Diceros bicornis minor: one gene and its partners. The protein of the gene in region 4 purifies or fractionates together with the protein of the main gene of each other region. This does not show direct contact. Links are inferred from orthologs where the notes say so. Each region holds a gene or a part of one and is shown on either strand. Other genes may lie near its edges.

Evidence for each region.
Region 1: the proteins of SF3B1 (region 4) and EFTUD2 purify together in Homo sapiens (affinity purification with mass spectrometry; 4 studies listed by BioGRID and IntAct, with this or other methods). This does not show direct contact. The link is inferred for Diceros bicornis minor from reciprocal best matches to the Homo sapiens genes SF3B1 and EFTUD2.
Region 2: the proteins of SF3B1 (region 4) and SON purify together in Homo sapiens (co-immunoprecipitation; 3 studies listed by BioGRID and IntAct, with this or other methods). This does not show direct contact. The link is inferred for Diceros bicornis minor from reciprocal best matches to the Homo sapiens genes SF3B1 and SON.
Region 3: the proteins of SF3B1 (region 4) and CWC15 purify together in Homo sapiens (co-immunoprecipitation; 3 studies listed by BioGRID and IntAct, with this or other methods). This does not show direct contact. The link is inferred for Diceros bicornis minor from reciprocal best matches to the Homo sapiens genes SF3B1 and CWC15.

The regions. Positions count from the first base shown.
Region 1 is NC_080757.1:43,343,845-43,351,692, reverse strand, and holds the start of EFTUD2 (116 kDa U5 small nuclear ribonucleoprotein component), read left to right. Parts: upstream 1-4,836; 5' UTR 4,837-5,036; intron 5,037-7,848. Other genes in the region: Ig-like V-type domain-containing protein FAM187A, read right to left, coding at 1-539; CCDC103 (coiled-coil domain-containing protein 103), read right to left, coding at 1,567-2,016, 2,721-2,853, 3,479-3,621. UniProt on the Homo sapiens protein: Required for pre-mRNA splicing as component of the spliceosome, including pre-catalytic, catalytic and post-catalytic spliceosomal complexes. Component of the U5 snRNP and the U4/U6-U5 tri-snRNP complex, a building block of the spliceosome.
Region 2 is NC_080766.1:34,057,131-34,064,079, forward strand, and holds the start of SON (protein SON), read left to right. Parts: upstream 1-3,929; 5' UTR 3,930-4,014; coding exon 4,015-4,091; intron 4,092-6,949. Other genes in the region: GART (trifunctional purine biosynthetic protein adenosine-3), read right to left, coding at 142-286. UniProt on the Homo sapiens protein: RNA-binding protein that acts as a mRNA splicing cofactor by promoting efficient splicing of transcripts that possess weak splice sites.
Region 3 is NC_080746.1:38,948,200-38,955,631, forward strand, and holds the start of CWC15 (spliceosome-associated protein CWC15 homolog), read left to right. Parts: upstream 1-4,432; 5' UTR 4,433-4,508; intron 4,509-4,607; exon of another isoform or gene 4,608-4,812; intron 4,813-5,705; 5' UTR 5,706-5,713; coding exon 5,714-5,844; intron 5,845-6,445; coding exon 6,446-6,558; intron 6,559-7,174; coding exon 7,175-7,263; intron 7,264-7,432. UniProt on the Homo sapiens protein: Involved in pre-mRNA splicing as component of the spliceosome. Component of the PRP19-CDC5L complex that forms an integral part of the spliceosome and is required for activating pre-mRNA splicing.
Region 4 is NC_080749.1:75,268,764-75,276,634, reverse strand, and holds the start of SF3B1 (splicing factor 3B subunit 1), read left to right. Parts: upstream 1-4,869; 5' UTR 4,870-6,153; intron 6,154-6,460; coding exon of another isoform or gene 6,461-6,483; coding exon 6,484-6,540; intron 6,541-7,452; coding exon 7,453-7,623; intron 7,624-7,871. UniProt on the Homo sapiens protein: Component of the 17S U2 SnRNP complex of the spliceosome, a large ribonucleoprotein complex that removes introns from transcribed pre-mRNAs.

The DNA of each region.
Region 1 (7,848 bases), on a different chromosome or scaffold from region 4:
TCACAGGGGGTCCACTCCCAGAAGGTGGTGAAGACATGGAGGCTCCCATGGTACTCGTCTTCAAAGGGCTCCTGGCCCTGGTCCTTGAAAGTGGCCACCATTCCCTCACTGCTCTGGATGTCCACATCGTAAGCGTAAAAGTAGTCCCCCTTGCGGGTGCCACAGAAATACAAGCCAGAGTCCTCAGGCTGGGCCCGGAAAACCAACAGGCTGAACATGCGGATGCTGAAGCGGACCAGCATGTCACTGCCCACACGCACCTGGGCTTCCTCTGTCAGCACCCGCCCATCGAAGTCTGTCAGCACTTTGGTGTGGCCGCTACCTAGGTGCTTTTGGTAGTACCAGACGACAGCAGACACCTCCTCTGGCTTGCAGTGGCAGGGAAGCTCGAAGCTCATGTCGGCCAGGTAGGCTGCATTGTCAAACATCAGGAAAGCCGGGCAAGAGGTCCTCTGAAAAATGTTCTCCTTCTCCACAATTTCAAAGGCCTGGAGACTCCCCCACGTCCACAGGAGCACAGTGGTGTGGGCCAGGTTCATGCCTGCAGGAGGGAAGGGTCAGAGAGGGCAGGCAAAACCAGGCACTAAAGGTCTTTGGGGCTTCTAGAAATCACTGCTGGGAGGAGGCATCTATATGAGGAAAGAGTTAAATAGCCAGGAAAAGAAGTAACAATCTGTAAAGCAAGCAGCCAAAAGCAAGGCAATTTATTCCCAGCTGATATACAAGACACCCTTCTGATGTTCCAGGCATGATCTGGAGGGAAAGCCATTCTAGAACCTGGCCCTCTCTCCCCTTTCTAGAACACTGGCACTCACCCAAGAATGGGTCAGGGGAAACCGGAATGAGAAGCAAGGGCCCAGGTGCTAGGACAGGAAATCTCGGCCTCTCTGCTCCAGGCCCTGCCCTGCCTACCTAGTGGGAAGGTCTTCCCTTTGGTTAATCTGGGAGTTGAAGGAAACCCGCCGGCCTGCACATCTGGCCACCTGAAGAAGCCTGGGAAGCTGGCCAGACCTGAGCTAATGGCTTGGGGCTTTCCCAGGCCCAGCCTGCAAAGGAACTCAGCCCCTGGGGAAAAAATACTGCACCTCAAATGGGGTACCCTTTGATCATTTGTGGATTAAATGTCCATTCATTGGTTTTAAGTTATAAAGATTCTTGTTAAGAGCTATGGAGATCAGTATTTGTTTACCATGGAAGATTAATGATTTTCCTTTTTCCCGTTTTTTTGAGTGGAGGCTGTAACGGGTGTAGCCAGCATTTGGTTGGGCACACACCCATCTCTCAGGGCTGAGGGCTAGAGGCTTGGCAGACAGTAAGGGTGAGAAGCAAAACACTTTCAACTTCTTGGGCCCTTGACCATCCTGTGGATCTACACACTTCAGAATATTGAGCCACCGCAGGGCTGGAGAAGAAGGGAAGATTCGATTCCTGCTTTTGCACTGAAAATTCCAAGTTGAGAAGGGAATTAGGTGTGGGTTTCTCATTACAGTCCTGCAGAGCTCCCAAGACAACAACCAAAAAAGTCCTCCAATGAGCACTGGGGGCCTCTGAAGGTAACTGGTCCTATTAATCCATCTGGTACAGCCCTAGCAGCTCTTGGAGGAGCCTCTCCTCCTCCTGGAGCCCAGCAGGCAGCTCCTCCACACTCCACTCCCTCTGGCTGAGCCCTTCCTTCATGGGTCTGGGGGCGCCCATGGCCTGCAGCTTCTGAAACAAGCCTCTGCAGCTCTCTCTTTGCACGTGGCTCAGCAGGCTCAGGTTCAGGGTGAAGCGCCCGGTGCTGGCCAGGCTGCGCAGGATCCCCAGCACCACTGACCGGTCTGCCGGCCTCACGTGATCGGCCAGTGCCACCAGCAGCTCCCCTAGAAGTCCAAACCCCACATCCGTCTGGAAGAGGCGGGCCAGCTTTGGACCCCCGAGCTGCAGCAGGGCCTGGTAGCGCTCTGGCCCACTCCGCAAGTATCGCCGCCAATCACGGTAGAAGTCTGCCGAGGTCTCAGGCTGGAGGAGTATGTTCTGGATCACAAAGGAAGGAAAAGGAGTCCTGAGCTCTTCCAGCTGTTCCGCAACAGTGAGAGTGAGGGGAGCCTCTAGGTTTCCATCTTAGCTCTGGTACTGCTCCCTGAGCACTGGGAAGGCTGTGGTCCCTGTTTTTCAGAGGTGGTCCCTCATTTTCAGAGGAAGGAACGGGGAAGGGGACAGGGCAGGAGGGTCCCAAGGAACCCAGGCCATGATTTGAGATTCTCAGTTGTACCAGGATTTTCCTACTGATGAATGCAGACATAGCCCTGCTCTAGGAGAGTAAGTGAGGGTTTACTTGGAACAGGGCGTAGGGGATGATCAGAAACCTCAGGAAGAGAGAAAGGAACTCAAGGTGAGTGTTAAGAATCTGACAGGCTGGGTCTCCTTCCCAACACTGCCACAGAATCTTTATACTATACACCATATAACCCAGAGGCAGAGCAACCCAAATCTGATCTGGGAATGCAAGTCAAAGGACTGATGGAAGGGAGCTGCCTCGCCCACCTTTCTGACTTGTTCTGCCCAGTCTAACTCAGCCTCACCATCCACTAGTTGCTTTTCTTTCTGGGATTGGAGGCAGAAACCTGCCTCTGTTGGCTTAACATGAGAAATAAGGAAAAAGTATGTGTTGTAAGAAGACAGGATTGGAGGTTTAGGGCAGAGAATCCAGCTGGGCTGAAAGGCTGGGCCTCACCTACCTGGGAGATTTCAGTGGTCTCGTCCTGGGAAGTCCTTCCCTGAGTAGTGTGACAGTTCCAGGGCACAGTCCTCTTTCCTCCTATCTTGTCCTTCTGCTCTAGTGGCTTCAGATGTGATGCAAGGACAATACCCCTATGAGCAAAAGACACAGATCAGAGGATGGACCTAATGCTGTCTGTGTATGGGAGGTGGCTGGACTTTGCGTGATATAGGCTGAACCTGTTGGCACACCAATATGACAACAATAATAACAATACAATCATAATGTGCCGCATAATGACGTTTCATTCAACGACGGACCACGTACACAATGGTGATCCCATAAGATTAATACCATATAGCCTAGATGTGTAGTAGGCTATACCACCTAGGTTTGTGTAAGTACATTCTGTAATGCTCGCACAATGATGAAATAGCCTAATGACGCATTTCTCAAAACATATCTCCATTGTTCAGCAAAGAATGACTGTAATAACACCAGCAACAATAGTTGACAGCTTTTGAGCACTTCCCATGTGCCAGACATTGTGCTCACAATCTTACATGTAATAACTTATTTAATCATAAAAATGATTACTCTCTTTTACAGATGAGGAAATAGAGGCTCAGAGAGGTTAAATAACTTGCATAAGATCACACAGGTAGCAGAAGGCAGGGCCAGGACTGAGCCCAGAATTGTCTGACACCAAATCACATGCTCTTATCCACTACTGTTCACCATAACAGGAGGGCCTGAGAAAAACAGCATTAGGCCAACCTGAACTCCTCATAGGAAGCCACCCTCTGTTCCACTGCCCGTAACTTGGCAGCATTCTCCCGTTTGTACTTCTCATCAGCAGTGAGTGCAGCCTGCAGCTCTTTTTCTAACGCCTTGAAGTTGATGATGTCATTTCTTTCCATGGCCTGTGCAAAGGGACATCAGAGAAGGGTCAATATCAGGGGGAAGAGGGTACATATGAAGTCTTTGCCAGCCCACAAAATGATCCAAAACCACTCTGGATATCTTGTCACTTATCTTGGGGAGTGTTACAAATATCTAGTTCTCTACAGAGGGGAGCTGAGTTGCACAGTGAGGACTTGCTTAAGACTTGCTGTCACTGAAAATAGAGAGTCCTGACTTTCAGATTGGAGCCTTGCTTTAATTTTCATCTCTGCCTCTAAAAATACTTTAATTTTGATGCTTGGCTGAGGAGGTATTTGGATCTCAGAATTCAGTCCACTAACTCTTCCACATGGGTTCATTCTATAGCAAGTTGTTGTGATAGAGAACCTCACACAAAAGCAGAACTATTGCTAGCCGCTCTTGAGCCCTGGGATAAAATTTCAACCGTCTTTATCTGGGAAAGATACATTGCAACCAAACCAGATGCAATGACTAAGCAGGAAATCAAGTAGAAGTTAGGCAGAGGAAGGGGCTTAATGATCCCTGTCCCCACATCCCTCTGTCCAGCCCAGGGTTCCAGCACAAGTCCCTAGGTACTTGAGCAACCTCTTTAGTTCTGCCCCTGTACTTCTGCAGCCTGCACGTATCTGAGGCTGACTGATCCTTTCTACAGGGAGATCCTGTATATGTGTTCTAGTCTTGGCTCTGGCATTTACTTGCTGTGAGACCTCTTTGAACCTCAGATTCACGGTGCTTTGAGCTAGATTTCGTGGCGGAGTCATCATCAACGGCCCTAGGGCAGGGAGGCAGGAGGTCTGCAAGCAACCCCATAGCCCTTTCCCTCCACCCCAAAGTGGGTAAGCTGAACACCAAGAAGGGCGCTGGGCTGGCCAGGAACTGAACTCAAGTGTCCTGGCTCCTGTCCAGTTCTGAGCCCTCCCCAGTCATTGAATAAATAGAACTAACTCTTCCGACCCTCTGACCTTCACTCCACCAGCCCTGGCCTTGATTCCCTTGCTTTCTTTGAAGATCCCCAGATACGCGAGAACAGGACAGCTCAGTGTAGACCACGCCCAGCAGCTGTGGTTGCCCAGCAACTGCTCCAACAGCCTGCTCACGTGATCGACCCGAAGGCCCCCTTCAGTGTGGTCCCAAGGCGCCTGATCAGATTCAGGCCTGCTCAGCCCTCACTCTCTTGGGAGCAGCCCACTCCTTGGTTTGGGGGCCCACAACTCCACCTCGCCTGTTCCTGTGTCCGCGGCCGGCATTCTTCCGAGCTGGTCCTCAGGCAGAGGGCTGTCCTCCGAGGCAGAAACGCGACGGCGGCCTCTGCGGGGTCCTTCTGGACGGCGGGCGCACACATTGCCGCGGCGTGGGGCGGAAGCGCGGTCTCCGGTGGCAGACTTGGAGCTTTTGGCTAAGCGGTCGGGAGGTGAGCTGGCGCGGGTCAACCGCATGGGAAGTGGGATGGGAAATTAAATAATGTCCGATCTGAAAGAGACGTTATATGCTATCTGATTCTTTCAATTTACAGATGGGTAAATGGAGGCGTTCTGCGGGAAAGGGAAAGAAAGGACCCCCCCCCACACACACACGCACCCCAATTCCGCGGTTCCCTCGATATCATTCATTCGTAAAACCCCTTTCCTGGGCAGGGGTCGTGCTCTCACTGTCCAGTCCCCTCTCACTCCCTTTTCCATCTGTTCCGCCTTCACCCTTTCTCTACCAAGCTCCCTCTGTCCTTATTCTGTATTCCGTTGAGAGCCTGCGTTATAGCGGGAAGCAGCAGTGAGGTTTGGTACCGCAAGTCGTTAGTTTTATGCAACTGTGGACAAATCAGCTGTCTTCTCTGTGCCTTGTTGGAGTCATTCATGCGTTTAACACATACTAATTGAGGTCCTGTTTTGTGCTAGGCACTGTTCCAAGTGAACAAAACAAAGTCCTTCCTTAAATTGTAGTTGGGGGGATGACAGTAAACACATGAATATGTCAGCTACGGATAAATGTTATGAAGAATAATAAAACAGTGAAAGTGGGGATTGGAGAGTGTGTGTATAGGGGACTTTTTAGAGTGACAAAGGAGGTTTCTCAGAGCAGGTGACATTTTAGTAGAGACCTGAGTGAAATGAGGGAACAAGGTATAAATATCCAAGAGAAGATCATTTCCAAAGAGAATAGCAAGTGCAATGGCCCAGCAGCAGAAATGAGCTTGGCTTGTTCCATGAAGAGCCTTCTATAAAAATTTCTGCAATCACTACGTGGGAGTCTTGGGAGAATGAAATGAGCATAGATGTGATAGCTCTTTGGAAGTAAAAAGAATCTCGATGTGTATGAAAGTTTCCATTATAATTTACATTTAATTACTTGTCCTTGGAGCTCTTAATTCTCTATTTTATCTACAACCAGCACTCAACAGGTGGCATTGAGGGAAATGGAGGGATTAGCCTAGTACAAGGAATATCAGTATCTCAAAATTAAACAGTCCATTCGGTTAACATTTATCTAGTTCCTTCTTATGCATGGTGCTGTCTGGGGCATTGGCAGGTGGGCACAAGGAACTCAGCGTTCGTGAATTCAAGAATGGCCAAAAAATAATGCTAACTAATGTTTACTGAGCCTGAGATTGTATAAATTCTTTACACAGACTATTTTGTTTAATTCTCATAACCTTTTATGCAATGGGGACTATTCACTCCATTTTCCAGTTGAGGAAACAGGTTTGGAGAGATGAAGTTACATAGTTATTAGGTACATAACTTACCTGAAGTTACATAGTTATTAAGTGACAAAGTTAGGATTCAAATCTAGATCTTCCAGGTTCAGAGCCTTAACCCTTAACTCATGCTGTGGTCTGCTGTTTATTTCTTGTAAGCTCTAGAGTTGTTGGTGAGGGTATTTAGTACAGTTAACTGACATTCAAGACAGAATTAAATGCTGATAAAGGTGCAAAAGGTTATAGTGGCATAGGAGAGTGAGAAATTGCAGATCTAGGAAAGCTTGAAGGAAGTGTCATTTGAACTCTTACTTTGAATAGAATGTCAATAATTGAAGTGGAGAAAACCCATGAAATACTTATTAATTACAAAGAGAAAACAAGTAACTATAATGGAAAAGCCTGGTAGACACCACCATAATCAGGTGATTAAGTTAGCGTTACCACTAATAGGACAAATTAAAATCGTGTACCACCTGATGGGAGATGCACTGGAAAGAACACAGCATCACTTCTGGGATATTCCTGCCAAAAATGCATAACCTGAATCTCGTCATGAGGCAACATCAGACAAACTCAAATTAAGGGACATTCTACAAGCTCAGTAGCCTGTAATCTTCAAAAGTGTCAAGTCATAAAAGTCAAGGGAAGACTTGAGGAACTGTTCCAGTTTGAAAGAGACTCAAGACATGACAACTAAATGCAAATATGTGATTCTAGATTGGGTCCTTTACTGTGCAGGACATTATTGGAACAGTTCGTGAAAGTTCACTGGGAGTCTGTGGATTAGGTGGTAGTAATGTGTCAATACTAATTTTCTGATTTTGATGGTTGTATTGTGGTTCTGTAGGAGAATGTCCTTGTTTGTAGGAGTCACACGCACTAAAGCAGCAGTTGGCAAACTTTTTCTATTAAGGGCCTATATATTTACTAAAATATAGTAAATATTATAGGCTTTGTGGGCCATATGGGCTCAGTTGCAACTACTCATTTCTGCTGTGACAGTGTGAAAGCAGCCAGACAATATAAGTGGATGAGCATGGCTGGGTTCCGATAAAGCTGTTTTTATAGACACTGAAATTTGAATTACATATAATTAATTTTCATGTATCATGAAATATTATTCTTTTGATTTTTTTTCAACTTTTTTTTTTTTTTTTTTTTTTTTGGCGAGGAAGATCAGCCCTGAGCTAACATCTGCCAATCCTCCTCTTTTTGCTGGGGAAGACTGGCCCTGAGCTAACATCCGTGCCCATCTTCCTCCACTGTATATGGGACGCCGCCACAGCATGGCTTGACAAGTGGTGCATCGGTGCGCACCTGAGATCTGAACCAGTGAACCCCGGGCCGCCACAGCGGAGCGCGCGCACTTAACCGCCTGCGCCAACCGGGCCGGCCCCTTTCCGCTATTTAAAAATGTAAAAGGCATTCTTACCTTGGGGGCTGTAGGAAACAGGTGGCAGGCCAGATTTGGCTACAGGCCATAGTTTGCTAATGCCTGCATTAAAGTATTAGGGAATACATGAGGCAT
Region 2 (6,949 bases), on a different chromosome or scaffold from region 4:
TATTCAAATTACCACACAAATTTTAAGGTTAGGAAAAGTATTCAAATCAGAATAGCAAGTGACCTTATAAAGAACAGATGTAGGTGACAATTTATCATTTACAATTATTAACTATTACTCCCCACTTTAAAACATAATTACCAGTATTTGACATCTTTTCGGAGGAGGCAGTGCCTGCATTTCCTGGAGCAACCAATACTTGTTTGACATGATTAGACTGAGCAAGTTTCCAGGCCAGCGTATGTTCCCTTCCTCCATTGCCAATTACAAGTACTCGAGCTGCCATTGCTGTCTGCAAAGCAGGAATTCAAAAGGAAAATGAAAGCTGCAGAAAGAAAAGCACAGTTGGTATTTCAGAATGCACATACTTCAGAAGTCACGATTTCTAAACATGATTTACGTAGTCATTTGTATTCATACAATGACATTTTATTCCAACAATTTATTTGTGAAAAATTAGGATTCATAATTTAAGAAATATGACTGTACTCATAATGATTAGGGAGGTATTTTAAAAATGAGGCAGATGGGCCTAGACAGCTAGGTTAAGGAATGCAACAGCGACTTAGCTCTTTACCTGTTAAAAAAAAAAATCTATGAATAATCACCCTTCCTTGGGCTTCTCCTTTAGAAGATTTAGTAATCATCAAGCCTCAGTTAAAAATGAATCTTGATGTTTTAAATTTAGACCCAAAACTTGAAATAACTTTTTTCGTGTGTGTGAGGAACATTGGCCCTGCGCTAACATCCATTGTCAATCTTCCTCTTTTTGCTTGAGGAGGATTGTCCCTGAGCTAACATCTGTGCCAATCTTCCTCTCTTTTGCATGTGGGATACTGCCACACCATGGCTTGATGAGCAGTGTGTAGCTCCGCGCCTGGGATCCAAACCAGCGAACCCTGGGCCACCGAAGCTGAACGCGCAAACTTAACCACTATGCCACCGGGCTGGCCCCGAAATAACTGTTTTTAAACCTTGAGATCGTATAGATAATAGACGTTAAAGTTATCATAAATTGGAGGCAATATTAAGACTGGGGGCTACAAAGTCAGATAGTAAATATTTTCACCTTTGAGGGCCATAATCTCTGTAACTACTACTGAACTCTGTCACTGTAGCACAAAAGCAGCCACAGCCAATACATAAATGGATGCTATGTCCAGTATACATAGGCAGTGGCCTGTAGGTCACAGTCTGCACTAAGCAATAGGAAGCTACCAGAGGTTTGTAAAGAATAAGCATGGCTGTGTTTCAAAAAAACTTTATTTATGGATACCGCAATTTGAATTTTGTATAATTTTCATGTGTCAAAAACATCATTCTTCCTTTTATTTTTTTTCCAATCATTTAATGATATAAAAATTATCATTATTTGGTGGGCTGTACCAAAACAGGCGGCAGGAAGGATGTGGCACTAGGGCCGTAGTTTGCTGACCCCTGATTTAAGAAATTAGTGCAATAAGTTAGAAAATTGGTAGAAAAGTCAAAAATCAAATCTGAACACATCTCACTTTAGTTCTGGCATATGATTCTGAGCAGGATGGGTGCAATAGCACTCTCTTTCAACTCAAGTGAGCAGTGTGACATTGAGTAAGCTTTTACTATCTGTAATTCAATTTCTTCACATCTTAAAAGATGGAAGTAAGAGAACTTGCCTTATGAGGCTACTTAAGATTAACTGAAATGACATTTATAAACAATTAGTGCAATTTCTGACACTCAGCAGCAGTAAACGCTAACTTGCTATATTTTATTTATTACTTTTACCTAAATTGATAGTACTCTACGGATAGAAAGAAGTTCTAACAGGAAAAAAAAAAAGCCAAAGTAATGAATAATTTGTCACATTAATTTACTAATTTTCAGAAGACATTTATGTAGAAGGCAAACTGATAACAGGAAAAAGAAGACTGAAATCAGTAACTTATGAGACGATAGGATTACCCATTTAAAGAAAAATCTAACCTGATAATATAAAAAACACTTTTTGAGCACTTACTTTGTGCCAGATGCTATTCTAAACTGTTTTCATGAATTACGTCACTTAATCTTTGTAAGAATCCTATGAGGTAGATACTATTACCATCTCCACTTTACAGATAAAGCGAGGTCCAGTAAAATTGCTAGAGGTCACTAGAGCCAGTAAGGGGTGGAGCCTGGATTCCAACGGATGCAGTTTTGCTTCAGATACCCTAACGATTGAGACGGTGATCACTGAAAATTTGAGGAGAGAAAAAAACCCTGCTAAATTACCCTCTCAGAGGGGGACAAGCTATTTTAGTTTAATGGAAAGCACAGACTTGACACGTGTATTAAAATATCTGAAATAAACATACCTTTGAACCTGGAGAAAATATTACGTTCAGTTGGAATACGAGGGGCAGGGAAGGGAAACTGTCCTGGTTAGTAAAGTGGATCACTGAAATAGCATTAGGACTCAGCTGGAAGGAATCTACCTCAGGAGCGGGGAGCAGGCCTTGTTTTGGGCCAAGACTCTGCCCCTTAAGCTAGGATACTTTGAGGGACTTAATTAACCTTCTTAGGCCTCTGTCACCTAAATGGGTAACATAACGAGAATGAGAGATCCAGGCAAAGCCATTTCAAAAGATTTGGTGAATGATATAAAGCAGAAACCAATTCCAAAAGTCGACGAAATAATCTGCTGGAGGCAGTGGGTGCATAACGAGAAAATACGCAATTGAGGTTTACGACCTAAAAAAAGCCTAAAGACACAAAAAGGTCCCGACATCTTAGAAAGCAGGGAAAGTGACAGAGCCAATGGAAACCTCAGTCCAAAGAAGTGAAAAGCACATGGTCACCCCCCACCACCCACGGCGTTTAAAAATAAGACAATCCCCACAGCCGAACAGTTCCTACAGTTTCATTCGATGCCTGGTATTAAAGCCCCCAACCAAAGCATAAATGGACTTAAAAGCGGAGGGGGTTACGCACCGACACAAGGCCGTCTCCAGGTTGCACTCACCCGCCTCGCCTGCCCGCGCCGGATGTCGGCCGAGCGGATGCGGGCCCGCGCCTCCCCGCCCGCCCCGCGGGGCTTCTCCTCCCCATTGGTCGGCGCGGCCCCTGGTTCCCGCTAAGACGGGGTTAAGTGGGACTCCCTCCCGCGCCGGGCGCGCCCTGAGCCTACTCCAGAGCAAGGCTATCAGACCCTGGCGCGTTTCTCTTGTAACACTAGAGGATCAGGCCCACGTAGCGTGTCTGTTCCTTCTCGGGAGCCTCCCAAGCTCAGAGGAGGGGCAGCGCCAAAATGCTAACTCCACGCTTAGCTGCTTGTGTTGCTAACGAGGCAGAACTGACCAGGCAGCGCGTACAAGTCTCGTGACACGCCTGGCGCCTGACGGGACTAGAATGCACCAGCCTCTGAATGCAGATGGCTCAGGACCTCCCGCCTATTGCTTAAAAAAGAAAAAAAGGAAATGAAGCCGATTATAGGATCCCCTGCGAGAGAGATGGGGTGAAAGCGTGTTCTTCGTATTTGCACCACAGTGGGGGCGGGCGCTGATTAATGCTTTTCCGGACGCATCTCCCTGCTGAAACTCAACTTGGCGCCACCCGGGAATGTTGGGGGGCCCGTATCAAACACCATGTTGCCCTTCTTGCTCCCTTTCCTGTTGACATTTAATCTCGGGCGTTCGGTGGCTAAAATAAGCCTCTTAAGTCCCCCAAACACCGTTGGGGACTGACACATTAAGCTCGCAGACTTCCCTCAACAGAGACTTCTCCTGTAATGGCGCCTGCGTCAGTCACTAACATGGCGGACACAGTCGTGCGCGGCGCAAACGTCAGCAGCTCTACCCCAGACGCTCAGAAACAGCGGAGGAGAGCGGAGCCGTCTTCACTGATTGGTTCAGCGGTGGAACGTGCCGGTCTGGGCGCTCTCCCAGGAGCCAATCAGGACGGCGAGAGACGGAATTGGCCTCTGCGCCTCCTCCCGAGGCATGCTGGGAGCCTGGAGGACTAGCGAGGAGGAGTTGAGAGAACGGAGCGGACGCCATGGCGACCAACATCGAGCAGATATTTAGGTCTTTCGTGGTCAGTAAATTCCGGGAAATTCAACAGGAACTTTCCAGGTAAACGTTTCCCAGACTCTTCTGCTCCCAAGGGACCGATAGGGCGCCGTGTAGCCTTCCATGGCACCTCTCTTTTGAGGCGCCGTCGTTCCTCGCCTCAGGCCCCGCTACAGCCCCGCCTGGGCCTGGGATCCATTTTCCGGGCCCTCCCCCCCCATCCGTTCGCTCCCTTCCCAGCCAGGAACTTCGCCCTTTCCCAGGGAACCCCAGACTCCCTCTTCTAGAACCGAGTTACGATGCTCGCCCTCCTCTCCGGTTTGGTCATCCCCTACCCTTTGGCTCCTCGGCGGCCTGGGTGTCCGCCGGGGACGGGCCTAGTTCCTGCCTCGGCTCCTCCTCCGCCGCCGCCGCGTCCCCCTCCCCCTCCCCGCCTCCGCGGCTCTCGCCGGCCGGTGCCTCTGACCGGAAAGGGTCTCTAACGGCTGTTTCTTGGGTAATCTTAAATCCGCTTTATTATTGCAAGCTGCAGATCATTTGGGGATCGGGATCCTTTAATTAGATTATTTGGGCCCTAGTGTCCAGTGGCTTCCACCAGGCCGCGTTCTAATAGCTTAGCAATTTAAAACGGCTCAGATTCACGTTAGCTACTTTGGCGAAATATTCCAGGCGGGGATGGAAGGGGACTTGGAATTACTAGTGATTTCTGAATTTACCAAGTGGAAAGCGGGGTTTGTGTGTAGGTCTCAGTTTTTTTTTTTTGCTACCCCTGCCCCAAGTGACATATTTGAGCAACACGTTTCTTTTGCCTTTGCTGTTAGAATTTACGTAGTTTATCCTCGATTCCCCAAATTTGAATGGGAAGAGATTTCCGAAGAAATAGTTGTTTCCTCAGTAGGGAGAATAGCGTGGATCATGTTGTCGTTCAGTGGTTGTCTTTTAGTATTTTTGCTTTGTATAATAACGTAACTGTTTGTTCCGAGTTCAAATGTTTTTGCTAGTTGTCTTTTAAAAGTTGAGAGCAAGAGCAATACGTGAATTTGAAAATCAGCCGAAAACGCAATTGTAAATTAAGCACTCAAATTAACATAGAGTTATTGGGGGCAATGATGTAGTATTGCTGGAATTATTATTCTTGCAGGATATATTGTTTTTTAACTGGAAGGTGTATCTCTTCACTCATTTCACTGCTTTAAAAATTTTTTTGTGCTAGTGATTTTAGGTTGATGAGAAAAGACCTGAGCTAAGGGAATATAATTTTCCTGAAAACTTTTTAATAGTTGCGTGCAATAAGTAGTTGTGTTTTTTTATTGTAATGCCTTGTTTTTATTCCTTTTAAGAATCAGTTTTTGTAATAGAAAATGAGTTTCATTGTAGAAAATTTAGAAAAAAGAGGAGAAAGAAAATAAAAATCCACCAATTAATTATATTGATGCTCTTTATGTCCTTTCGTTTTTTTCCTTTGCGTACAGTTGCATATACATGTTTTGAGAAATGTGATCGTGTTTTGTGTTGTTTTTTTTCACGTAATATACATATGGTGAACAAGTTTGTGTTCTATTACAGTCTTAGTAGTCTTTTGGGACTTTTTCATGGCTCTTTAGACTTCTATTGTAGGAACGTATTGATGGATAGTTAGATGGTTTGAAATTTTCATCCCTTTTCAGCAATTGAGGTAAACATTCTGATAGCTTTAAGAGGATAACTTTCTCATAGACTGGCCTTTTTAGTGAGGTAATTATGTATGTGTAAGTGCTTAAGAAAAGTGTAAAATGAAGAGTTCTGGAAAGAAAATCTAAAAAGGATATTAAAGCAATTTATTACTAGAGGAATGCTCAGCTTCTTAAATAATAGGTAATATGTTACCAGTCTGAAAACAAATTTTTGATTATTTGCCATTTCAGTGAGCTATATTTGCATTTTTTCCCACCTGTTTTTATATGTATCAGTTTGGGTAAGGAGACTTCCATTTAGATAGTTATCATATATAGATGGGGGTTAGGAATATGAGCTCTGGTTTTGAATACCAGTTTCACCTCTTAATAGATGTGACCTTCAGCTAGGTTTGTTGTCTCTGCCTCGTTTTCCTCGTTTATAAAATGAGAGTAATAATGATGATCTTAGAGTTTTGTTAGGATTAAATGAGTTATTAAAATGTAGAATTGGGTGACACTAATTAATGGTCCATAAATGTTCATTGTTATTATATGATTCATTATATTAGAAAACCAACTGTTCCTTAATAACATTTAGTTGAATACTGAATTTTTAAATTTTTTGACTGTTCAGGCTTTTATCAGGTATTGGAAGCATAAGTTTTTGTTAGCTGTGTCTGTTTTGTTAGCTAAAATTTAAGTTAAATTGTTGAAGTTATTTTTCAAAACAATTTTGTAAATGTAAGCAAAAATAGTAAGAATGACTGGGTAAATAAATGTCAAGATTGTTCTGGCTCTGTGAATTGAAAATATGTGAAGCCATTCATTCCTTTACTGTTAGTATAATGAATTGTCACTTGTTTTACATGAATTTTTTTTGAACACCAGGAATTTTTTTAATCCCAGGATTTTTGATAACTGGATAAAAATGTTTTTAAAGTTTATGGCATTTCAGTAACTTAAGTCTAAACCTGATCAGAGGCTGCAAGTTACCCTTTTTACTTAATGTGTTTGTGTTCCTTGATACTGATTATGATCCGTGCACAGGCGTGGCTTTATCGTGGCTATAGCTTCTCCCATAATGTTAGGTCATATATTTTTCTTTGGATTTGAGATGGCAATCTTAATTTTCCTTCCCTGAGATAAATATGCAGGTAACCTAAATCTAAATCAATTTAGGTTTCTGGGAGAATTTTATTAAAAAAAAAAAAAAAAGATGAGCTTATAAATTTGTTCAGAGACTTTTTCTTAACTTTCACAGTTCTG
Region 3 (7,432 bases), on a different chromosome or scaffold from region 4:
ACCAAGGGGGAGGATGGTTGCAACTTGAAACAGGGCTGTCATGGTTGGCTGACCTCATCTGAACAGAGATTTGAATAAGACTGGCCAAAAATATTGGCCGAGGAAACAGGAAGTGCAAGGGCCCTAAGGCAGGAGCTCTGCTCAGACAACACCATGAAGGCATGTAGCCTAGAGAGGCAGGAGCAAGAGAAGAGATCAATTAGGTAAAGGACAGCCTTGAGGGACATTGTGAGAACCTCTGACTTTTACTGTGAGGGAAACAGGAGCCACTGTCTCCCCACTGACTGGATCCCCTTATCACCCCATCTCATCCAATTGTATTATTAATTTTTAAAAATTCCTGCCAATCTGATGCTGTAACATGATAATTCATTGTTTGCTTTCATTTTCCTAATAGGAAGGTTGAGTGTCTTCCATGTTTATTGTCTGTTTGGAATTGCTTTTTTGAATGGCCTGTTTATATTCTTAGCTCATTTTTTACTGAGTTGTTTGTATTTTTTATATTATGTATATTATTAGTAGTCCTAGTAGTAGTACCCTTTCACATGTTATAGGCATTATAGAATTTACCTGCTAATCTAGCATTTATCTTTGACTTTGTTTTGGGCATCTTTTGCCATAAAATTAAATTTTTATATAGATGAATTTTTAAAGTTATTTCTTTTACAGTTCTTAGGTATTCTGCCTTGATCAAAAGGTCTTTACAAACCCTAGGTTGTACAAACAGTCTTTTAAATTTTCTTTTTAGATTTTTATGTTTCTTTTTTTCCTTTTGGGTGTTTAATTCAACTTGCTGTAGTGTTTGTGCAAGTTTTGAAACTGGAATTCCTACATTCAACCTGCCATAAGAATAGCTAGTTTTGTAATCACAGTTATTACATAAAACATCCTTTTCACATTCACATACCTTTGTCATATTAAAATGAAGGAGCTTTTTTTTTTTTTTTGCTGAGGAGGATTCCCCCTCAGCTAACATCCGTTGCCAATCTTCCCCTTTTTTCTGTTTTATGTGGGCCATTGCCATAGCATGGCAGCTAACAGACAAATGGTGTAGGTCTGCACCCGGGATTCAAACCCCGGCCTCTGAGGCAGAGCATGCCAAACTTAACCACTAGGCCACCGGGGCTGGCCCAAGGAGCATTTTTTAAGGTTAGGATATACTACACCATATCCAAGAGCTGATAAGAATGATCCGAGAGGGCCAGCCACAGTGGCCTAATGGTTAAGTTCAGTGCACTCTGCTTCGGCGGCCCAGGTTTGGTTCCTGGGGGTGGACCTACACTGCTCTATTAGAGGCCACGCACGCAGTGCTGGCGGATGGGTTGATAGATTACGAGAGACGTGAAATACAGTAGGATGCCAGCCACTAAGAAGGCTGGAGGAATAGGGACCCAGAGCACAAGGAGAGGGCTTGGGTCACCTCGTCTCTACTAATACGTGGAAAGCTGGGGGTATGAGTACAGTCAAAGGCAGCTTGTTAGATCTGCCAGTGGGGCAGATGAGGAGTCCTTGTTGAAGAGCTTCTGTCTTCCCAGAGAAGTCAGGAAATCATCCATTCCTGGGAAAGAGGATGAGGAGGGAAAAGAGGGTGGAAGAGGTGTGTAGATTTGAGGAAACGGCAATGTGGGAAAACATATTATTGCAGAATGGGAAAATAAACAGGAGAGTATAAGAGGATTAGCAGGCAGAATTAAGGGCCCAACTAGATTTTTGTAGTAATGGGTTTAAAATGAGAACTTTGGGGAGGTTATGTATGATTTTTTGCCAGCAAAGGTAGCTGATGGTGAATTTTAAGTTTTTAGTAAGCTTATTTTCAGTTTCTTTTTCTAATACTTGCAAACTATGTCAATACCTTTACAGTTTCCTTTTCTTATTAGTACTTTAAAATCACTTAAGTAAAAACTTTTTAGGTTCTTTTTCTTATCAATACTTTCAGACCATTTAAGTCAAAGCTTTTGATATTGTGGACTGATTATATCATATGTTGGTGTTAATGAAACTACAGGGGTGGTTATTTAATCATGGTTGGTGATCAAAAAATTAGGTGGTGGGCTAGGAGTTCAATGAATTGGGGTAATTGACTCAGGGCTGATAAGGGCAGTTGAAACATAAAACCAGGGGTATTTTCTATAATTGTGTCACCACCTTGCCATTGTTACTTCATCCCTCCACTTCATAGTGCATCATTCATTCATTCATTCAACAAATACTTACTCAGCACCTATTATGTGCCAGGTACTGTTCTATATGCAGAGGATACACCAGTGAACAAGAGAGACAAGGTTCCTGTTTTCCTGGAACTTATGTTCTAATATAGGAAGATAGACAATAATAATAAAAATAATATTAATAATAATAACAACTAACATTTATTTAGCAAGTACTGTTTGCTGAGACAGTTCTAAGCACTTTACAAGTATTAATTCACTTAATCCTTAAAATAACATGAGGGACCAGAATTATCCCCATTGTATGCACGAGGAAACTGAGGGCACAGACAGGGAAAATAACTTGCCTAAGTTTACACAGCTGGGAAAGGCAGAACTGGAATTTAGAACCAAGACCATCAGGCAGTAGATCCCTTTTTCTCAAGGACTTTGCTATGCGGCCTCTCAGACAAGAAACAAGGCAATAACCAAATAATGAACAGAATAAATTCAGGGAGTGTTTAGTACTATAAAAAAATAAATCAAGGTGACGTGATGTATTTATGTGTTGGACGGGTGGGGGTGCAAATGCAGATGTCAGGGAAACCTCACTGAAGAGGTGACATTTGAGCTGAGACTTGAAGGATGGTAACAGTTATCTTGGGGCACAGGCAGCAGTGAAAAAGCTAGAGCAAAGGAATCTTTCCTTGTTTGTGAAACAGAAATGCTCAGTTGGCTGGGGCTAGAGCTTAGTGTGCAAGAGAGTGACTGATTAGAAGTGAAGTCAGGGAGGCAGACAGAAGCCAGACTCCATGGGGCCTCAGGTCACATAAAGAAATTTGATTTTTATTGTACGCGCAGTGGATTTTTATGCAGGAAAGTAACACTACTTGCTTCTTAATTTTGAAAGATCACTCTCACTGCTATATGTAAAATTGACTGTAAGACAAAAGTAGAGGCAGGAAGATCTATTAGGAGGCAATTACAATCCAGGTGGAAAATGATGGCGGCTTGGACTAGAGTAGCAGCAGTAGAATGAAATTTAGGGTGTATCTTGAAAGTACAATTAGCAAGACTTTCAAAAGAACTGGATGTGAAGAGTGAAGGAAAAGGAATTTGAGTAGGAGCCTTGGGATTTTCGCTTTGAGTAACTAGTATGATAGTAGCGTCCTTTACTGAGATGTGTAAGACTAGGGGAGGAATACCTTTGGTAAGAAAAATCAAGAAAGATTTTCATCTTGAACTTTACGGGGGGGGGGGGGGGGGGGGCTTTTTCTACCTTTTTTTTTTTTTAATGTAAAAGTTTCAAAGAAAGAGTTCTGGAAAAAAAGCTTTTAATGTTCAATTTCATGAGCTCTTTACATTTGAAACTAAGTTGAGGGAGTTGAATTTTTGTTTAACAAATATTCACTGAGCATCTACTGTGGCCAAGGACTACGTGACGAGATACTAAGACGAACTAAGCAAACAAGATCCCTGCCCCAAGAGTACTTTTTCGGAGAAGAAAAAAATGAGGATTGGTGGCTTTTTTTTCCTTTTCGTTGTCTTATTAAAACTTCACCTAACGCATGAGTAGCCATCTTATAATAACTGATTCTTGTGCTCCTGGTAGTTGGGCCCACCGTTCTAAACGCTCGATGTCGGGTGAATAAATAAACGAATCTCTAAGAGTGACATCTCCCCCTCCCACTAGAACTTAGGCTTTTTAAAAAATAAAAATTTTAACGAACAATACGAATACAACCTTTGTTTTGAAGGCTAATATTTTTGCAGGAATGGTACCTTTATAAAGATCGTGGTTGCCCCCGTACATATTTGTTCTTTCTTCATATCCAATTAAATGAAAACACTAGTTTTTCCGTAGCCCAACTCTCTAGGCTTGCTGGGTCTAGCTCAGGAGAGAGGAAGCAGAAGCCGACGGATTTAAACGGTTGGGTGGAATCTTTCTCTACGCTCTCTCTCGCTAGCCGGGGACGTGGTGTCGGTTACCCGGGGCTTTCCGTCCCAGCAGTACGGGAATGAAGGAGTCTGGGAGGGGGTCGGGGAAGGAAAAGGCGGAAGAGACATTAAGTAATTGGTTCTTCAGGGTATAAAATTATGTTTAAGGTCTACTCTAAAGGACCGATTTCAAACGCCCGCCCCCTGGGCCGTTTCGGCCCCGCCCCCTGTTGTCGTCACGCCGACTTCCACCTTGACCTCCGCGGATTGGTCGCTGCCTCCGCCTCTGAAGTGCGATTAAAGAGCTTGGAGTTTGTTTCCGGGTCATGGGCCTTGACCCTGGGCGCAGAGGTTTCTGGGAGCTCAGAGTCGTAATGGTGTCTGTATGATCTCCGGAGGTTGCTGCATCGGAGTTTGGCTGACGTGAGCGCCGGGAGGACCGCGGATTGTCTTCCTTATTCGAGTGGGGCGGGAAAGGACGATTGGGGTTGGAGTCGGCGGCGGAGAGGCCCCGGAGCGGCGGGCAGGTGGCGGAGCCCGGGTCCTGTCGGGCGCTTCCAGCGTCCTGGGCCGGCCGCGGAGAGCGCAGCGTGAAGGCCGCTCTGCAGACGGCGTTAAGCAGGGTCGGGGCCCCGCCACCCCCGCGGAGTCGGGCGTGGGGAAGAGTCCGCGAGTTCCCGGTGACAGCCCGCGGCGAGCTCCCGGGAGGCAGGAGTATTATCTGGGGGTGTGTGAGAGGCGGCGGCAAACCCTGTTTCTCCGTCTCTCCATTACATCCCTTTTGCTTTTTTGAAAATGTAGAGTATACCAGTTCTCTCGTTTCCCCACGCACTTGCTTTTCCGACGCTAACGAGGTTTTGGTAGACGAAGCTGCTAGGCAGCACTCTCTTGGCTGCCCGAACCAAAAGTAACAATAAGGAATAGGTCCCTGACTCTCCTTTTATCAGAATCCTTTGCGGATGAGATTCCTGTCTTTTGAGCATTCCTTAAATTATAACCTACAAAAGATCTAATGTATATGATGATGGCCGCTGTAGGAGAAAATTGGATCAACAAGAAGGTTGTTGGAGAATTTAACTTATGTAACTGGCATTGAAGTTTAGCACAGTTTCAGTAACTTTGTCAGTGATTTTTTAAATATCTTTTTTGTTTTTGTAGTTACTAGCCTATTTTCTGTTGTATGAGGTTTAGATAAAATGCAGACCTTAGGGAGTCTGATAGAGTAAGGTTGAGCTGAGAATTTTTCAAACTTAGTCATGACAGGACTGTATTTTTCGAGGCTTTGACACATTAAGTCTCATAATTCTCATAGTAATCCTGTGAGGAATATCCCATTCCACAGCAGATTCAGCTAGGTGACTTGCCCAAGGCCACAGAGCCAGAAGAACAGGAACCCAAATCCAGATCTTCATGATGGAATTTTTTGCACTAAATAAGAGCTGCCTAAGAAGCCATATTCTGAGCCTCATTATTTGTTTTCTTGAGAACTTTTGCTTGAGATTGTTTAAATTTTGGAGAATGAGTTTTGGAAAATGTTTCACAAGGATGGATATTGATTAATACTTTATGAAATGAGAGCTTGTCATATTGGAAATAACTTGATGCTATTTTTCTTCAAAGCATAAAAGATGACCACAGCAGCTAGGCCAACCTTTGAACCGGCAAGAGGTGGGAGAGGAAAAGGAGAAGGTGATTTGAGCCAACTCTCAAAGCAGTATTCAAGCCGAGACCTACCTTCTCATACAAAGATAAAATATAGGTAATGAAGGCTTTCATTTTTTTTGTTTGTTTGTTTACAAAGCAAGACCAAATCTGTTAAATGGCATGGTCATGAGATAGTAGCATGTTTGGGTTATATTACTGAAGTTTTCTGTTTCCATAGGAGTAGAATACAATAGAATGTTTAACACTAAAATTACTGTCTGTGATTGTAAAATGCTACCAGATATTCCTTATGTAGAAATTCCTATTAACTGGGAATTTCCATATGTAGATGAAACAATAGCTAATACATTACCTCAGAAGGACCAAGCACTATCAGCATTAATCAATATGAGATTAAAAGTGTTACAGTAACAGGCCCTGAGTTGACGTGACACTAACAAAAAGTGAAGACGTTTTAATCAATCTGCAGGCTTATTATGGGAAAATATGTGATGGAGTTTGGGCTTCTTGAAATATTGGAAACATCGCAAGGATGCCTGTTAGTAACCTTCAGATTAGGGTAATGAACTTGTCTAGTTCCCTCTTTTTTATGCTTGAAAGACTCAAGGAGACAGTTACTTTTTGTGAATTGTCTTCCATTGCTACAGCCATGTCTCTCTTAGTAACATTTTTGCTGTGATTTGTTTCTACTTTAGACAGACCACTCAGGATGCCCCTGAAGAGGTTAGGAACCGTGACTTCAGGAGAGAGTTGGAGGAGAGAGAGAGAGCTGCTGCAAGGGAAAAAAATAGAGATCGTCCAACCCGAGGTATCAACACTACCCCAGACATTTGTCTCATAAAATTATGTCAACAATTGTTTTTCTTTCATTTGCTAATTAGAACAGATTAGTATTTTTGCTTGTTTGCTTTAAAATATTGATGTGAGCTGTAACACTTTCTTAAATGTTAGAGATGAAAATGAGGTTGATTCCAGTTTCATCTTTTTATGTTTCTGTGTTAGAAAGAACAGGGTGATCTGGGGATATTTAGCAGCCATTGTTTCAGTTCAGATCAAGTTTTTGACTGTTTACAGCAGCCAAACTTTTTGAGGCCCCGTGGTTTCTATGAGGGTTTCCTATTTTTGTTACTGACTATTGGAAAGCATCTAGGGGCATCGGTTATAATATCTTTTTTATGTTTTCAGCATATGTAAACTATTCCCTAAATTTCCTGAGAGAGGCAGCAGTTTCCATATTAAAATCAGAACTTTGATTAATTCATTCAACAAATATTTACCAAGGGCTTATTTGCCAGGGACTGTGGTTCTGATCCCTGCTGTCATGATGCTTATAATCTAAGCCCTTTGTGCCCACAGGTCCCTAAAATGTCATTGGAAATGCAGTATTTGTTTTAGTAAGCTAAATGATGTTTGTTTTTCCCCAGAACATACAACCTCCTCTTCAGTATCAAAGAAGCCTCGGTTAGACCAGATTCCCGCGGCCAACCTCGATGCAGATGATCCTCTAACAGATGTATGATTTGTTTTCTCCTTTCATCTCCGTATAGTAATTTATTTATCGTGTTTCCTGAATTACCTTTTTTATTTTTTTGGCTTTAAGAAGTGACCTGTATTTATTTTTACTTACTGTTAGTCAAATGTAGCCCTGACTTCAATGCTAAACTTTATAGTTGATTTTAAAA
Region 4 (7,871 bases):
GAAACTCTTTGTTTCTTTACACTTTAATAATACTTTACCTATGTATTATTCAGATTATTAAAATGAAACATTAGGTTGTAATTTGAAGTTACCTGGTGTTAAGAAACACTAAAAGAAAGTTGGAAGACTAGTCTGTATTTGAAGGAGACTAAAGAGACGTGACAACTAAATGCAATGCCTGGTTCTTGATTGGATCACAGATCAAAGAAGGGAACACCTATACAGGATGTTACTAGGACAATTGGGGAGATTTGAAGCTGGATAATATATTAGATGCTATTGTATTAAGGTTTAATTTCTGAGCGTGTTAGTATTCCTGTGGTTATATAGCAGAATGCCCTAGATCTGGAAATAACATGCTGAGATATTAGGGATTTTAAATGATTTAGAAAACTGATATGTATACACATTTGCTTTATCTATTATGTACATAAACAGTTGATGAATATAGGTGAAGAGTATGTGGGTGTTCATTGTAATATTTTACTTTTTTTTAATCTTGAAAAAATTCAAAGTTAAAAATTGGAGGGAAGTTTGGGAAGCAGTTGAGAGGAGTTCATATGTCATTCACCAAATCTGCATCTCCAGAATGTTAGTAGAACATAGTGCTTTGGGGAGTGAGAGATGGCAGTTCATTCATTCATCGAGTGCTGAAGTGTTTCATGTTCATTGTCTCATTTAATCCTTAAAAAAACTTTATGATGTAGGAAACTGAGACACATGGGTTTAAAAACATTAATTAGTAGAGAAAGGGCCTTTATTTGAAGGCAGACATTCTGATTCCAGAGCTTAGACTCTTAATCATAAAACTAATGTGATGGTGGTTGCAGCCAAATTGTGTAGGACTCTGAATTCCACGCTTAAGAATTTAGACTTTATACTTTATTGTTTTACTATTCAGAGTGTAGTCCTAGGTGTTTAGGACATTACCTGGGAGCTTGTTAGGAATGCAGGAACTTGGGTTTGATCCAGGCTTACTGCATTTTCTTTAGTTTCCCTAGTCTGAGTAGGCATGGCATCTGAAAAGATTCCTTTATGACCAGTGTCATATAGTGTGTTGCCTATATTTTCGTCTATGAGTTTTATAGTTTCAGGTCTCACCTTCAGGTCTTTGATCAATTTTGAGTTAATTTTTGTGAATGGCGATAGCAGATGGTCCACTTTCATTCTTGTGCATGTGGCTGTTCACTTTTCCCAACACCATTTATTGAGGAGACTTTCCTTTCTCCATTGTATGTTCTTAGCTTCTTTGTCGAAAATTAGTTGTCCGTATATGTGTGGTTTTATTTCTGGGCTTTCATTTCTGTTCCATTGATCTGTGTGTCTGTTTTTGTACCAGTACCATGCTGTTTTGGTTACTATTTCTTTGTAGTATGTTTTGAAGTCAGAGATTGTGATCCCTCCAGTTTTGTTCTTTTTTCTTAGGATTGCTTTAGCTATTCGGGGTCTTTTGTTGCCCTATATGAATTTTAGTATTCATTTTTCTATTTCCCTTAAGAATGTCATTGGGATTCTGATTGGGATTGTATTGAATCTATAGATTGCTTTAGGTAATATAGACATTTTAACTATGTTTATTCTTCCAATCCATGTGCATGGGATGTCTTTCCATTTCTTTATGTCATCGTTGATTTCTTTCAATAATGTCTTGTAGTTTTCATTGTATAGGTCTTTCACCTCCTTGGTAAGATTTATTCCTAGATATTTTATTCTTTTTGATGCAATTGTAAATGGTATTATCTTTTTGAGCTCTCTTTCTGTTAGTTCGTTATTAGCATACAGAAATGCAACTGATTTTTGTAGATTGATTTTGTACCCTGCGACTTTGTTCTAGTTTTCGGTTATTTCTAATAGTTTTACAATGGATTCTTTAGGGTTTTCTATATATAAAATCATGTCGTCTGCAAATAGTGAGAGTTTCACTTCTTCGTTGCCTATTTGGATTCCTTTTATTCCTTTTTCTTGCCTAATTGCTCTGGCCAAAACCTCCAGTACTATGTTGAATAAGAGTGGTGACAGTAGGCACAGGCTTACTGCATTTTAACAAAATCCGTAGACGATTTGTTGCACATTCAAGTTTGATAACCACTCTCCATAGTACTGTTGTTTTCACATTTCTAGTAGTGTTGAGTTAAAATAATCTTGAGTGTTGTTGTTGGTCCCTAATCAACATTGACAGTATTATTGTTTCAGTTGAGGAAAAGTTTAGAATTCAACAATAATTTAATAAACTTTGGTAACCCATTCTTAAAGTAAGAGTAATTTGCAGTTGATGAAATAGTAAGTGTCTTTTCGGTACATGAGTATTGTCTGTTGAGGTGGAGATGTTATTAAAAATCAGTACTTGGTATAGTTCTACTAATCTGTTGTATGGTATAATTATTTTGAAATTGCTGTATTTAGAAGAGTATTTTGATAATACCTGGGAGAGAAATGCATTGTGTTGAGTGCTCTTTGGAAAATGAAGTTCAGAAGGTCTATATTAACTTTCTTACAGATATTGAAGCACAGATTCGAGAAATTCAAGGCAAGAAGGCAGCTCTTGATGAAGCTCAGGGAGTGGGCCTTGATTCTACAGGTTATTATGACCAGGAAATTTATGGTGGAAGTGACAGCAGATTTGCTGGATATGTGACATCAATTGCTGCAACTGAACTTGAAGATGTAAGTTACAAAGTATCCAAGAGTCAAGCGTTTTTTTTGATGGAGAGCAAGAAATATAAAGGAATTTTCTGTTTGAGTCATCTGGTTTAATCTGGGGAGACATTTTGGAGATTGGGAGATCTTTCTTTTGAAGGATAAAGCTGTTGAAGGTGTCCTTCCTCTCTAAAGTTCAGAAACTTGTGGAAGTGCTCAGTTCTGAATCTTTATGTTAAAGCTAGTTTATCTAGTAAAGCACCTGCAAATCATTAACTATTGTAAAGTAAATCCCTGTTGTCACCTACTGAGCTCTATCTAGAGTTGCCCATGTGAGAAGTGACTTCATTGTAAGTCATCTGTCCTTAGGACTTTTGATTTCTGACTTGTGCTTGATGCTGTTTTTTTTTTCCCCTTGGCATCTTGTGTGAATGGAATGTTTCTTGTTACCGACATGAATGGCTTTTTGTGCCTGTTTTAGTTACTCTGGAGGATGATCACCTCTCGTTTTGAAACACACCCCTCAAAGTGTTTTTTATGTGTTCCACATAGCTTATATTTTGTCAGACCATCCCAAACATACAAATTTGGTGAAATAGCTATCCATTTTTGTGTGGTTCAGTAACAAACATTTTATGTATATAGATTATCAAACATGTTATTTTTATGAAATTCAAGCCACATTTTATTTTATAGTTGGCATTTTTTTTTTTTAAAGCAAAATTAAGTCCCAAAGGTAGAATTTCTAGAAGCCAATCAGGCTTCTATTTGCATTATCATACCTTATTCGTATGAGACAGTGATGGCTATATGTTCCAGAAACTGAGGGGAAAATTATTTCGTTTTTAAATAAAATAAATGAGGTGTTAAGATCTTCTTGAGAGTTACCCACTGTTGAACTTCTTATAGTAGTAAAGTAACACTAACATTGTTGTGTTTGAACATACTACTAGGGAAACAAATATATTTAAAATTAATTATATTTTACTTGTTTCTGTGGTTAAATCATGTTAAAAAAACAAGGAAACTAGAGAGCTCTAAATAGTCTATTTGTAGTTTACAAATTTGGAAAACAAATTTCATCATGCCTTCTGTGAGAAAACAAAATGCTCAGATTTTTCTAGTCCATACCGACTTTAACTGACTTCCACAGAAAGCATGCCTTGTTTAATATTTTTAAAAGAGTGAAGAGAACTGAATTTCATTTCTTTAATAGCCTTTTGAGTTGAAAAGAAAACCAAAGTATTTATAAGTTTTAGGAAGAAGGGTTTAGACATCAATCACACTGTCAGTAAGTCTTTTGATTTCATGTTGAATCTTTATGTATTCTTTATCATTTTTAAGTTCTGACATTTTGTTTGTGGCTTTTGGGGGCATTTCATTGCAGGATGACGATGACTACTCTTCATCTACAAGTTTGCTTGGTCAGAAGAAGCCAGGGTATCATGCCCCTGTGGCATTGCTTAATGATATCCCACAGTCAACAGAACAGGTGACTCTTTTTTAAAAATTATTATTAAATTCAGAGTTTATTCAGCTAAAGAAAACAATGTCTCAATTCTCATGGAAGCTCACATATTTTAGGAATCAAGTTGTTAGAATGTTTTGATGAGAGTTAATTTGGGAGAATTAGAAATAATAGTTTATTTTATAAAGGTAATCATTTCATAAAGAAACTATGGAAATGTGGACATGTGTATTGTCTCATTTACGTATCCCTTATTTTCTCATATTAACGTTTATCCATAAAATGATACAGAATATTTTTTTTTTAGTAGGTAGGCATTTATTAAACATTTTTACGTGTTTTATAATGTTCTGATTTTTGTTTGTGGTACTCTGTTTGGTTATTTAGTAAAGTGGGTATTAAGTGAGATATAACTCTTTTCAGTATGATCCATTTGCCGAGCACCGACCTCCGAAGATTGCAGATCGTGAAGATGAATACAAAAAGCACAGGCGGACCATGATAATTTCCCCAGAGCGTCTTGATCCTTTTGCAGATGGTAATTCTTTCCCACTTTTCTATAAGTATTCGGAAATTTATTTGTATTAAGTTGTCTTTAGCCCTTTGATTTTTTTTGGCATGCCTATGAATTTGCTTTTCTTTTTTAAAATCCCCCTTATAGATTTGTATAGATTTGGTTGAAGTCACAGATGCCATATTCTTCCTCTTTATAATGCAAGTTTTCTTTCCAGGTAGAAGGACAAGAAAATAATGAGCCAATGCCATAGAAACGCAAAGGGTTAAAGGTTTTTCTTTTACTTTTGTTTTGGGTACGCTTTCTATACTTTGAACAAATGTGTTTTTCTGCTCAAAATACTTTCAAATTATTGAAAGTTTTCATTCCAAATCCTAGATTTTTAGGATTGTTACTTTTGAGAAACTGTTTCTCACATTAGAGCTCCATCCATGTTGCTCTAAATATAGTTTAGTAAACGCACCTACTTTGCTTTAAGCATAAAGTTAAAACAAAAATATGTGTACAAAGACTTTGATATTTTTAATAGTTGGAGTCTGTTTTGCTAATTTTAGGGGCATAGTGAGCCTGATGGAAGCTTTCCTCAGGTGAGTGAGTTTCAAAATCAAAATTAGGTGCCTGTTTCTTAAAATTAGATTCTGCTGCAGGTTTACAAATTAGACTTTCAGCCTGCATGAATTAGTAGGGATATTCTTTTTTTTACTTGCATAATTGTAATTGATTTAAACATGTATGTCAGAATTCACAGGCCCATACTAACTGTCCTTAATTTCTTTCCTACAGCAGTACTGCTATATGCCAGTCCTGTCTGCATTCTTAAGGGTGCAGTTCAACACATCCTCTCTAGATTATGGTGAAAAAGTATTCCAAAGGAAGTCTTATCAGAGCTAGTGTCAGAAAGAATGACACTATCAATTAGGCATGATCTTCAGCATAGGAAATGTCTTAGAATTTTATTATTTTTTCCTAAATTATGATGCTATACTACTTTGTATAGCTAATTATCACATTTCTAAAACTAGTGTGCCTCTGTGAATCTTGTTGTATACTGTTTGGGCTTCTTTAAGATATTTTGAAGTTTGAAAAACAAATACTGAAACTTTAACCAAGAGACTAACACATCTCTTTGTACACCACTTTTCTTCTGTGTGCATCATAATAACTGGTAGAGGTAATATATTTCAAGTAATATATTTCCAGTTGTAATTTATACTTTCTAAGAAAATAAAAATATGTTTCTGGGTCAACAAAACTCTAAAAGCATGAAGCCCTTTTTAGTAACATGACATCAGAATAAGATTATAGGTATATTTTTAAAAATCAGATTTTCTGAACTATAACTGTTTTAGAACATTATATGAGGAACTTATCTAGTCATAGTTATTTGTAGTCAGGATTTTAACAGCTTGCAACAGGTAATGTTTTGAATATAAATATCTTTCCAAAGTGTTACTAATGGTAAAGAGATAATTTTCTAGGCTTCTATTCTGCTGCTTGAAGTCAGAACTGCTGATGGAGACAAAGGCACGAAAGTGTACGTATTCCGGATTAGCAACCCAGGAACCCATCACTTCTGAAGACTCTAAACTGTGCTGTCATTTTGTTTTCATATGCATTAAAATATTTGTTTTAAACTGCTGTAGATATGTTTGTGTTCAAACAGGTTAAATTGATCAGCAAACTCAATAAAAAGTAAGATGTATAATTATTAAAGTTTTCCATCAAAAAATAAATTAAATGATTATGGAATAACATAATATTAGAGCAGGGCAGATAAATCAGTTGAACCTAATTATCTTTTATTTATTGTACTCTTGTCCTGTTGCTGTTCTTTTCTGCAGGAGGGAAGACCCCTGATCCTAAAATGAACGCTAGGACTTACATGGATGTAATGCGAGAACAGCATTTGACTAAAGAAGAGGTATGTTAACCTGCTTTTTATTTTAATGGTTGTGAAAGAAAGTGAAGAAAGTAGAGATTGAGTGACTTTTGTATTTTCTTTTTATTTGCTGTACAAGTAATATTTTAACAGCTTAATAAAAATTAAGTTGAGAAAGAACCTTACCCAAAATTCTGTCACCTCCCAAATTACACTTTTCATGTTTCTATATCCTTTTCTAGTCCCTGGTCCATTGGCTATATATCTATATACGTATGTATCTTATGGTGGATGTATCCGGGAAGGATTGATAGTGTGTGTCTGAAGCCAGTGTGTAAGGGAAAAGTGAAATAGTTAAATCATTCTTTGAAAAACCTCTAATTCTCTCATAAGATTCAGTTTGGATATGGGTGGAGAATTCCTGAAGAATTCCTGTTGGCCTACAGAGATTGCTCCATCTTGTTTTAATAGTTAGCCTCCAAACTTAATATGAATATATAATAGATTTGTTTGTTTTATGGATTAAGTGGGATAGTGGAACTCCATTTTAAAATCATGGGGTAAATTAAATATGCATTTGTTATGACTATGTTATTTGCATAGTTATAGTCACTTTTATCGCTTATATCTTGCTACATTGTCTTAATTGCTATTTATATGAGTTTTAAATAAAACTTTATTTTTGAATGGAATCATCTTTACCGTTGACTGAAGATTTTACTTCACTAACTGTATATAAAGTAGAGTGCTTTATGTTATAAATTCAGTACTTGCTCATCTGTTGTGCAGAAGGACATTGTATAAAACTGGCGATAGAGAGGGAAAATAAGGAAGGAGAATGAGTGAAGAATAAAATGACGTGAAATCATGAAATAGAAATGACTGTCCTAATGATATAAAAAGATAATTGAAAATGTTTTAAAGATATTCACTGCTTATTCAAATATTTTTCAGAGAGAAATTAGGCAACAGCTAGCAGAAAAAGCTAAAGCTGGGGAACTAAAAGTCGTCAATGGAGCAGCAGCGTCCCAGCCTCCCTCAAAACGAAAACGACGTTGGGATCAAACAGCTGATCAGACTCCTGGTGCCACTCCTAAAAAGCTATCAAGTTGGGATCAAGCAGAGGTAATTTCTTAATTTTTGTTACTACTATTTTTAATGTTTTTATCTCATGAAATGTATTCATCAGCTCTTGTTGGCATACAAGATAGCACAAACTGGGCAGCTTAAACAAACATTTATTTTCTCATGGTTCTGGAGGCTTGAAGTCCAAGATCAAGATGCCAGTTGGTGTCTGGTGAGAGCCCTCTTTCTGGCTTGCAGATGGTTGCCGCCTTGCTCTTTCCTCACATGGCCTTTTCTCTCTGCTTGCA